Linked DNA regions of Neodiprion lecontei. The protein of the gene in region 2 purifies or fractionates together with the protein of the main gene of each other region. This does not show direct contact. Links are inferred from orthologs where the notes say so. Each region holds a gene or a part of one and is shown on either strand. Other genes may lie near its edges. The genes, in order: RNA exonuclease 4 and RNA-binding protein 28.

The links.
Region 1: the proteins of RNA-binding protein 28 (region 2) and RNA exonuclease 4 purify together in Homo sapiens (affinity purification with mass spectrometry; 3 studies listed by BioGRID and IntAct, with this or other methods). This does not show direct contact. The link is inferred for Neodiprion lecontei from reciprocal best matches to the Homo sapiens genes RBM28 and REXO4.

The regions. Positions count from the first base shown.
Region 1 is NC_060264.1:30,467,060-30,471,860, reverse strand, and holds RNA exonuclease 4, read right to left. Parts: upstream 2,911-4,801; 5' UTR 2,749-2,910; coding exon 2,359-2,748; intron 2,108-2,358; coding exon 1,538-2,107; 3' UTR 683-1,537; downstream 1-682. Other genes in the region: probable phospholipid hydroperoxide glutathione peroxidase, read left to right, coding at 3,454-3,514, 3,701-3,791, 3,891-4,000, 4,076-4,167, 4,310-4,525.
Region 2 is NC_060265.1:7,494,197-7,500,264, forward strand, and holds RNA-binding protein 28, read right to left. Parts: upstream 4,249-6,068; 5' UTR 4,035-4,248; coding exon 4,016-4,034; intron 3,908-4,015; coding exon 3,756-3,907; intron 3,669-3,755; coding exon 3,500-3,668; intron 3,372-3,499; coding exon 3,118-3,371; intron 3,029-3,117; coding exon 2,661-3,028; intron 2,598-2,660; coding exon 2,240-2,597; intron 2,162-2,239; coding exon 1,993-2,161; intron 1,884-1,992; coding exon 1,666-1,883; intron 1,580-1,665; coding exon 1,430-1,579; intron 1,369-1,429; coding exon 910-1,368; intron 799-909; coding exon 676-798; 3' UTR 597-675; downstream 1-596. Other genes in the region: uncharacterized protein LOC107219962, read left to right, coding at 4,724-4,851, 5,287-5,393, 5,667-5,815, 5,989-6,068. UniProt on the Homo sapiens protein: Nucleolar component of the spliceosomal ribonucleoprotein complexes.

The DNA.
Region 1 (4,801 bases), on a different chromosome or scaffold from region 2:
TACGAAATTAAACCCTGAAGAGTAAAATTCCCCACTTGAAAGAGTCATAAGGTCAAATGTCGTAATGTTTATTTGTAAATAAATGCAAAGTTCAGAATTCAGAGTTACCCTATGCAGCAGTGATGAAATTTTCTGGTCTGTTTTAAGAATTGAGGCCTTATTTTTTCACTTCACTTCTATTTGCATTAAATTATTGCTCGCAAAAAGTATTATTATGATTTTTCTGATGAAAGCAAACAATCTTTTCTCCACCAAGGCGCAATCTGTACTCAGATGCACAAGTAATGCTCTTGCCCACGTTGCTGGTTGTAGAAACAATGAAGACTGCAGTGTGTTTGATGGGAAGTAGCAAGAAATACATTCCAGAAAAGAGGGAATGTGTCTGATAACAAGGTCGTTCACTCACGGCAATCACCAATACGGGAATGTAGCAAATGAGCTATGTATTCATTGTTTGAATACAAAGATTTTTCTTTATTCTTCTTATGTATACAACATTGAAAAATTCACGGCTAATCATTTTCACATTTAATGTTTCCTTGAAAAATCCTTTTGTGACTCTACTAACTTCCATTGATCGAACAGATGTTTGTTAGTACTTATTCATTCAAAATTTATCTGTTATATCATTACATTTTCAAACAAATTAAGCTGTCGTATAGCAAAATAAATCTAACAATTATTTTATAAACAAAATACTTTATTTTCCATAATTACAGAAATAATTGATTAGTCGTAGAAAATATGCGTCATCTCAACATGAAATAATTTACTTCTTGTTAATATACATAATCTAATACTCATATATCAAGGCAGTAATCATTTTACTATGGTTTTCTTTCGAAATTCTTCTTTTATCTCAACTCAACTAGTTCTAAACGAATTCACAGAAACAATAGTTGCATAGTCGGTGGTTAAACAAATCAAGGTCCTATTTGTATTTACGGAATTAGTCTGTGATGGACAAGACAGCACCCAGCAGAGAGAAATTCAGAAAAGCTGTTAGCATTTTATTGCAGATGTGAATATTTTATTGGATATCTAAGGGGGGTACGAATTCTTTTCAACTAATTAGATTAAGCCAGCTCATCAAAAAACAGTTACATGATTCACTTTACAGTTGACTTATCGGTAATAGACAAGAACAAAACTGTAGGTAACTGAGTAAGTAAATTACTTAGCACATTTGTAAAATCGATTGCTATTATTGCAAATCGTTATTGACCTTGTTGCAAAAGTAGAATGTAATACGCACCCCATACATGGAGCTAATCGTTGAAGATTACCACTTAACTATGGAACTAAAATGTGAGGAAAGTTACTGGTGACTAACCCCGCAATATTTAATTTTATGTATGTTACAACAGTCTTTTCATTCAACATTGAAATTAAATTATTAAATTCGAGCTCGTCAACATTTCATATACAATAACAACAGTTGTACGTTCTTAAAAAAAATGTTTGCCATACCTTAAATGCCCGACATGAATAAAACGTAACCTGTAATTCGCAAGTAAAAGAAAATATACAAAATTTTTCACCGCTTAGTTCTGATATCAGTTTCCCACTGATTTTTATACAACATATATAACTGCATCGCAGTTCTAGCATCTTCTACGGAACTATGCTCGCCGCTTTGTATATCAATACCGAGCAATTCTGCAGCTAGTCTTTTTAGACTCGGTGTATTCCCCATTGAAACTTTTCTAAACTGCTTATATCTTGATGTATCTCTGATCATTCTCTTGGGATGGGATAAAAACAAGACATCGGTATCGTGCTTGAGGGCGTGGCCGATGAGTAACCTTCCTTGCAATATTTCAGCCACTTCTCTTTGGACCGTCTCAAAGTTTTCCCCATTGTAAAGATCATCAGGACGAATTCCACTCACTGGTGTTCGGTAATCTTGAACCTTTTCTCGCGGCTTGACATATTTGTCGTAAACACATACTCCGTACCTATTAACTAGCGAGACCCGTGCCAACATGTTCTCAGTTCCGTTTCCAATCCCAACCATCTCACAGTCTATTGCTACTTGTTTTGTCAATTGATTCATTGTCTTGTTCTTTGCGATATTTACCTTGGATTTAGCGGTGGGGGAAAAGGTCTGAAATGAAAATTGATATATTCTGTAAAGAATTTAGGTGGTAAAGTGATAATATGGTAGGACAACGTAGTGATGTAAGCATCTTGGAAAATTAAGAAGATATTTTCCTCGCAAAGCGGGTATGTTCCCCAGTAACAAATCACAAAGACTCTGCATTTTAAAGTACGTGGATTTAGAAAAAAATCTGGTAGTACGTTTATGAGATCGTTCAGACTAGATTAAAAAACAAACTGATTTTCGGATATAGTTACCGAGGCAGGTGTGGATGCAGTACATTCTACATGACTGTAGTTCCTCCTCTGCCTCGGAAAAGTTTTTGCATGAGCATTATTGGTCCTAATTTTTTTTTCATCGGATCCCGAGTCTTTTATGAGATCTTTAAATTTTTCCCAATTTGTTGTTGGGGTACCATGTGCTGGCCCGTTGCTCGGTTTCTGGTTAGGTTTCATTCGTTTTTCGATATTTCTAGACTCGCTGCTGGTCGAAAATGACTTTTTGTTGTTGGCTGCTGATTCTTCGGTGTTTCTTTTAGTTCTGGTTATACTCTGCTGATCTTTCATCATCTTCGATAACATATCACGGCACAAAATTAATAACGCGACAACAATAATTACCGGTAGAAAGGTAGCCGCCTCTACCATGTCTCCCTTCTCTCAACTTTGCACTCTTGGCAGATCGCTAGTTGTATATCAGTACGATCAGTACAAATGCATGGTATTTCAAAATAATGGCACATAACCATAACAGCCACTCTTTTCTCAGGAATTCGCCACTGATCGAGGTTATTTCTCAAGGTTTTTTTTCGTGACCACTCGGTCGATCGTCAATGCTCTACGTTACCTACGGACACCGAGGCATCACTGAGTAGTAGTCGCCCATCTCATTAATACGTACTCCGCGTTTCAGGGTAATCCTAGAAGCTGCAGGATTGTTGTCTGTGCCGTTGTCGTTTCGATCTGTTTACTACGCTAGTTTGTATTTTGCAAGCTTGAAGTTATTGCTTATTGTCATCGACTTCCGACGACGAATTAAGAAATCTACCATACTAAGAAAATCACAGGTGAACAAAGTCTACACGTACAATTTCAATCATTCAGTAGAACAGTAATTGAATTCCTAAATCAAATCAATCGTTTTGTACGCCGGCAACACAAAGAACAGTAGACTAGTTTGGTACTTCATTTTTTCCCGCCAGATGACGAGGATAGCTTCTTATCAACTATTGCGTAATCTGATGCTTGACATGGTTAATCAGAATAGCTTTTTTGCTTTTCTAGACCGTGGCTCACGCACGACGTCTCAACAAAGAACACAATAGAGAATAAATTCTCGAAAATAAATTAAACATGTTCACATGCATCAGTCGGGTCACAGCTCTACCAATTCTGCGTATCTCACATGCTCAATGTTAGGCTTATTCTTTATTTATCTATTATAATAATGCTTTTTCTAATTTGTTCTGTGTTTTTTCCTCATAAATCATTAATTGCATTGCGTTCTGGCCTTTTTAAAAATACTTGCATTTTATATGAATTTGTGAATCTCTGAAAAATATCCATCCACTCCACAACAATAACAGCAATATGTTTTCAGGTATGAGTGGAAATCAAGATTTCAAAAATGCTACATCCGTTTATGATTTCACTGTCAAATCCATCAAAGGAGAAGATGTGCCGTTATCCAAGTATGTTTAACAAAGTTTTTAAGAGCGTTTCACAAAACTTGATTTGAAGCAACATATGATGAGACGAAAGTATTAATGGTGCTTCAATGGTTATTTTAGGTACAAGGGTCATGTTCTTCTCATTGTAAATGTCGCCTCAAAATGCGGCTTGACGTCATCAAATTACAAGGAACTAAATGAGCTACATGACAAATACGCTGAAACAAAAGGTCAAGATTGTGATTCTATTGACATATTTTACTTAATATCCAATAAGTAATTTATAACATTTTGTTCTTTTACAGGACTGCGCATCCTTGCGTTTCCCTGCAATCAGTTTGGAAAGCAAGAACCAGGCACTAGTGAACAAATTTGCAGTTTCGCTGAACGCCGAAATGTAGGAAAATATTTTTGAATCTTATAACGATTTCATGATACAGTTCACCTGTCCAAATTTCATTTAAATTGATGAAATCGGAAGACATTATGTGCTCTAAAAACTGTCATAATCAATGTTTTTTTCATTCTTATTTTTGTAGGTAAAGTTCGACTTGTTTGAGAAAATCGATGTCAACGGAGAAAATGCCCACCCACTCTGGGAATACTTGAAGCAAGAGCAAGGTGGTATCATGGGCAGCTTTATCAAATGGAATTTCACCAAATTCATCGTTGACAAGGACGGTAAAGTTGTCGAACGACATGGTCCAAAGGATCCGCCCAGCAAATTCGCGTCAAACCTCGAGAAATATTTCTAATTTACTTTCTTTTTTTTTTTTCTTAATCCTTTTAACAGTGTGGTATAGATTTTAAGTCATCTGCTACGCGTGGTAACAGTACTGAGCTACGGGTAATCTCATTGTTCGTCTAATCCTAAATTTATTTTACGTAATCGACATTTTTCAAATAATTATCCCCCGCCGGTATGATTATTGTCTGATATCTCGTTTAAATACCGAAAGAAATATCCTGCGATAAGTCAAAATGATTATATAAGCATCATACGCCTTGCATACACTTATTTCCAGACTCTT
Region 2 (6,068 bases):
TATGAACCCGGACTTCGAATGAATTTTTGACCTTTCGCAAAGATTTCTTTTATTTAGTTTTTATTAGTTCGGTTATAGATTCTGTTAACGGAACTTTCGAGGATTTTTTTCGTTCATTTGTTATCACTTCTTAAACAATGGTTTGACTGTAGTATCCGTAATAATGGGGCTTACGCGGCGGCGATTTCAGATGTCGTAGAATAAAAAGGGTCAACATAATGTTCGCTTTTTAACGTATAAAAATTTGAACAATACTGGTACGCGTACACCAAATATTATAATGGTTCAAATTTATTGTGACGTTTTAAGGGAAAAAATCTGTCACCTACAAATCAAAGGCGATCATTTCCTGGCGTTTTAAATACAGTAAATTCAAACTAGCGCGGCGCCGTGAACATGAAAAATGAAAAGTAGATTGCCCATAATAAGGCGCGCTGGATCATTAATTTGGCTGGGCAATTGGATTATTTTACATAAATAAGCGGTATTATTGATCTATATAATTGTTGTTTGGGAGCGTCAAGGTTGTCGAATTAATTACATAAGCACAATACACTTCCGTGAAATAAAAGTCTTTAATTTTCAATTTAAAAAAAATTTACAATTCAAAGTCTAACGCAAAAAAAAAAATACTTTATATACATGGCGCAATCCTAATTTTTCAAATATAAGTTATTATGTTTCGTACCACTTGGATTTTTCCTTAGACGTTGCCATTAATTTATTCTTATAATTGTTCACCAATTTGCTGAAATTTATATCTTCTTTGTTCACTTTTTTCTTTGAACCCTGTTTCGGCTGTTGATGAAATTAATAAAATTAGAGTTAGCCAACGATTAATCTAATAAGGTCGTTTAAAAAACAAAGTCACAAATTTTATGTGAATGGGGAGGTATAATTAAGACTTACCCTTATTTCTTTTTGAGAGATCCGTTGTTCCTTTTTCGTCTGCTGAATTTTCGCTTTAGACTTTTTATTTTTTAATTCTCGTTTCATAGTTTGTTTATGTAAAATAGCTTGAGACTTGAGATTGAATCTTGATCGCATTTTTCTCTCTCCTGGTTTACTCGTTACACCAGAATATGGCTGAACATCACCCTCGTCATTACCATTTTCCAATCTAGGATGCTTCGCAGGCCGACGATCCTTGTTTCTATTATTGACAGTCGGCCTACCAATACTGTTCGTTTTCTTGTCATCCGAATATTTGCCATCTTCGTGTTTTCTCTTATTTGTCATGGGCCGGTCATTCTTAGTTTTTAGATTACTTCCTGTCCACAGAGGATTGCGCTCTCGACTTTTTTCTACTCGTTTTTTAATGGCATTCACCATTACTCTGTTTTCGATTGAAAACGCGACAATAGGCCTCTGAAAATAAGAAGTTTGGATAATTATTTATTCAAGATCCTGTCAGATATAAATTAATTACCTTGGTGGTGCCGAAGATTTTTGGATTGTTATTTATACTTCTCAACGCTTTCAGCGCATCTTCGTGGCTTGTAAAGGCAACGAAACCGTATTCTTTAGACCTGCCAATTCCATTGGCCTCAATGTTTCGTAAATCCCGCATCACTCGGGCCTGAAAGAAATAAAACCAATATGAACATGCGTCATAAGTAAATAGAGATATTTAAAATTAACTCCTGACCGAAAAGTGGTTATAACCTCTCTTATAACTGCTTTTGGCCCAGAATGGTTCTGGAAAATTTCTCGCAGCTTTTTGTCATCCACTGAAACGGGTAAATTATGCACAACCAGACGGACCCTTGAAACGAACATATTTAAATTTCGTAGCATTTGCGATTTCCATTGTTCTAATTGCAAACGACGAGCCATGTCCCCTGCAGATACTCCTACTGCAGCTGGACTACCAGCCAGTATCACTGTAAGGAATTAATCCATCGTTCACGTGTTGTTACGCACAAACCAAATAACAAATGAATGACCATGTAGCACAACAATCCAATCTATATAAATTTCATATTATCTTACCTCCTTCTTTGACAAGGTACAAGTTTCTAGAATCAGTTGCTTTTTGTTTTTTCAGCTCTGATTTATCTTGCACTTCATTTCTGTTCAGTGCTTTATGAGGATCTAGAGTTTGATCATGTATACGTAGCTCAGTTCCAGCCGATAAACATTTCTCTGCATCCTCCACGTGCTGTAAACGGTATTAAACCGGTTTATTTATGAACATCAATTTTCATCACTTAATAAAATATTACAGTGTACAACTTACTTGAAATTTAACAAATGCTGTTCCTTTTGAATGCTCTGTAAGGGGGTCCATACAAACAAGAGCATAATAGACTGGACCAAACTGTTCCATGCATTTCCTAAGATCGTCGTTGGTCGCAGAAAAGGGAATATTTTTAAGGAACACCGTTTTTCCCTCGTTAACGTCATTCGAAATTCGGCGTGGTCGAGAAGCCTCATTCTCGTCAAATTTCTCATTCTTGACTTCATCTGGTGAGATCTTAACTTCCACTTTATCCTCATATTCGTCTTCGTCTTCGTCCTCATCATCATCTTCATCTTCTTTGTCATCAATTTCATCCTCGATACTTGCACCAATAGGTTTTTCATCCTTACTCTCCCTGCAAAAAAAAAAAGATATGATTAATGGAACTTGGTCATGATTAATAAAAGCTTGAACTTGCCTGTCATTAGATTGATCCTCTTCCAGTTTTAAAGATGAGTCACTTTGGTCTGGGTCTTCATCCAAGCCTGAATCATCTCCATCGGGTTCTTCCTTTTTTAATTCAACTTCTTCTATTGCCGCTTCATTTGGGTCCTTCTGTTCATCGGCCTTACCAAACTTTGTTTTTGGTACAGCCCAATCAACCACTATTGGTCGACCCAACAGAGGTTTTAAATTTAAATGATGTATCGCCTTAGCTGCACTCTGAACATTATTGTATTGAACAAATCCACAACCAACAAGTTTTCCATCTGGTCTAGTTAGGATCGTGACTTCTTCTACATTGCCAAACGGTGCAAAGTGTTCTTTCAATAAATCATCAGTTATCTAAAATCATGAAATTTCATTAAGACTTAATACGAAAATGTCTTCCTAACAATCATTAAAATCAAATAAGAGTATATTTTCATCCTCACATTAAATGATAGATTTCGAACTATAATCCTTGCTCGTTTCTGAATGTGTTTCAGCCTATCTTTGTCTTTTTTTTTCCTCTTTAGATTTTTTTTCAACTGAGTTTTTGACAGACAGGTAGACTCTTCATTTTGGGTATCAACTTCTATGTTGCTTTCTGTTTTATCAGTTAGATCCTCAGTCTTGTCAACATCGTCCTTAATACCTTCGGCAAATTTGTATTTTGGTATTGCCCAATCTGAAGTGATGATTCTTCCTAAAATTTGATTAAAAATAATGTAAATGTACAATTCATATTCATTGATAGTGCAATTGGTTGGAGGACTTAAATTTACTGAACAATGAAACCAGAAAAACACTGTCCTTTTTTTTGTTCAGTCTTACCGAGCAATTCTTTTTTATTTGTGTTGAATATCGCCTTTGAAGCTTGTTCTACTTTTTTAAATTGAACGAAACCACAACCCACCAGTTTACCACCTGGGTGACGTAGTAGATTTATTTCTTCAATTTCACCATACGGTGCATAATGTTTTTTAATGTCATCCTCAGTAACCTGAAAATATCCATTTAGTGATAAGTTATTACACATTGATGACTTTTTTATCTTAAATGAAAAAAACTTTACCAAAGAGAGTTTTACCTTGAATGGAAGATTACGAAGCACAATTCGAGCCTTTTTATTTTGGACTTGTACGTTTGTGGTATCCTCAGGAGCTTCTTCAGCACGTTTGTTTTTCAAAATTCTTTTTTTGTTCCGATAAGCCCAGGATAATTTTTTTTCTCGTCCATTACCTGGAATTGATAGATCGAGTATTATGAATATTAATCGAGGCAATTTAGTTAATTTTAATCGATTAATATACAAAAAAAAATTAATTAATTTAACAACAAATTCCTCACCACGATCTGATTTCTGCATAGTGGTTGATATGACTGTCCAAGTATAATAGAAGCAGCTGAATTAAATAAATTTCAATGAAATCAAAGACGTTAATCTCATAAACAATCTCAATCTGTAATATCTTTAAGACGTCCACATTCTTTCATATGACTGTTTATATTGTGAGCAGAGAGAAACCTTTGTGAGGTTATATCGCAGCGTGTCCGACACTCACGTAAAAATGTCAATGGCGACGGTTGAGAACCACTTTGAGAACTGAATTTCTATATTTCCCTGTATAGCCTGAAGATGTCGTTAAAAAGAAAAATTTTTGCTATCTTTGTCTACTTTGGGTACGAAATAAGTAGATTGGTATTACTGGTTAAGACTTAAGATTTCCAATTTCACGTTGGACAGTTTTCTTTATTTACTTAACAGGGTGCAAGGTTCTGTTGTGTTGGTGGAATTATTTCTTTATATCCCGCCCGTGGTTATGTTTTTTGTCTTTTGTATCGTCTCCTCGGAATCTCTTTTCAAAGGCATCAAAGACTTTATTAATAAACAGATAATAATTGTCAATTAAACGTTTTGTTGATCATCTTGTGCGCGAGAGCCTGCAGACACATTCCATTCGGGGCTTCACACCATCCGTCGTATCGCTTATGTATCATTTACAACGGTAGAATGAAGTGTCTTGTCTCTACGTGTTATTAAAACGTTAAACGTACATGTCGGAGCGACAGATTAATACGGCAGAAAATATGTCGAACTCTTATTGTGTCGATGAAGTGCAACCTCTTGATGTAAGCGATATCATCGATGTTTCGGCCTTTGACTTCTCGGACGATGAGAGATGGTAAGTTTATTAATCCCTGTTGTTAACAACTTTTTGGTTTTCGAACACCATATCCCGTTTATAAAAACTCAACAAAATACATCAACATCATTATCAAATTAAGCGTAGTAAACAGGTTATTCCATCTTTCGCTTTTACGAAACAGAACGTATGTATGTGTACATGCTAGTTGAATCACCTCATCACTGATGTGTATACTCATTTCTGTCAATGACTCACAGCTTGTGTATTATTGTATATTTACTGTTTACACAAGTTTGAAAATCAATGGCATCTTATGCCTAACTAAAGTAAAGTTGTTTAAACAAAAAGGTTTTTCTGATTAGAAACTGATCATAACTGTCCCAGTGTCTGACTATTATAACAAAACATTTATGAAGAGTTATAGGTTTTATGCTTTTTGTTACGGATACTATAAATAACATGTTGTTTCAGGCTTCATGTATGTGCAAATTGTTCGGCGGAGGGCAATGTCCAAGATCTAAACAGCTGGTTAGGAGATGGATCGGAATTGGATTTAGAGGAAAATGAAGCTCTGAATGGTTTGTTTTTTTTCATTCCTACTTACCCACGCACACAGTTCCCGGTTAAACCTTATAGTAGGAAAGATGATCTCATTTTATGAGGTGAAGCAATATAATTGCCTTTTCATACATAATCATTTATGTATTTCCTAATATAGTCTGATAAATTAAACACCAGTCTGACTATTCTGCTGGTTTCACTTGTTGAATAATGTAAGGTATCATCTTTCATTTTTTCTATTTTTTTGTTCTTGAACTTTAATGAGTTTCGTGATTCTTATGTTCTTTCAGGCACAAGGCGCTCTATCGATACGAGAACGTTCACAAGACACAAAAAGCGTAACAACAGACTGAGTTTTGAATCTATAATAGAAGCATTGTCGCCACCAGCTTCCAATGTATGGAAGAGGTCTCCAGCACTAGCAGGCACTAATGTCAATGTAAGTATTCTTTGGAAATCAAACTTAAATAGACTTGACACAAATTTCGATAGGCTTCTCCTTGAACCAGTTACTAGTTTTTAATGCTACGTTAACACCGACCTTTTGCTATTTTAAAATTGTGAACTAACGAAAAGTATTCACACCTGAGATATTATAAAATTTTGAAATAGATGGACAAAGAAATCAGTTTGACAAATAGCGAAAAGGAATCCGTACCAGCTATGTTAAATCCAACATCAAGCCAAGTTAG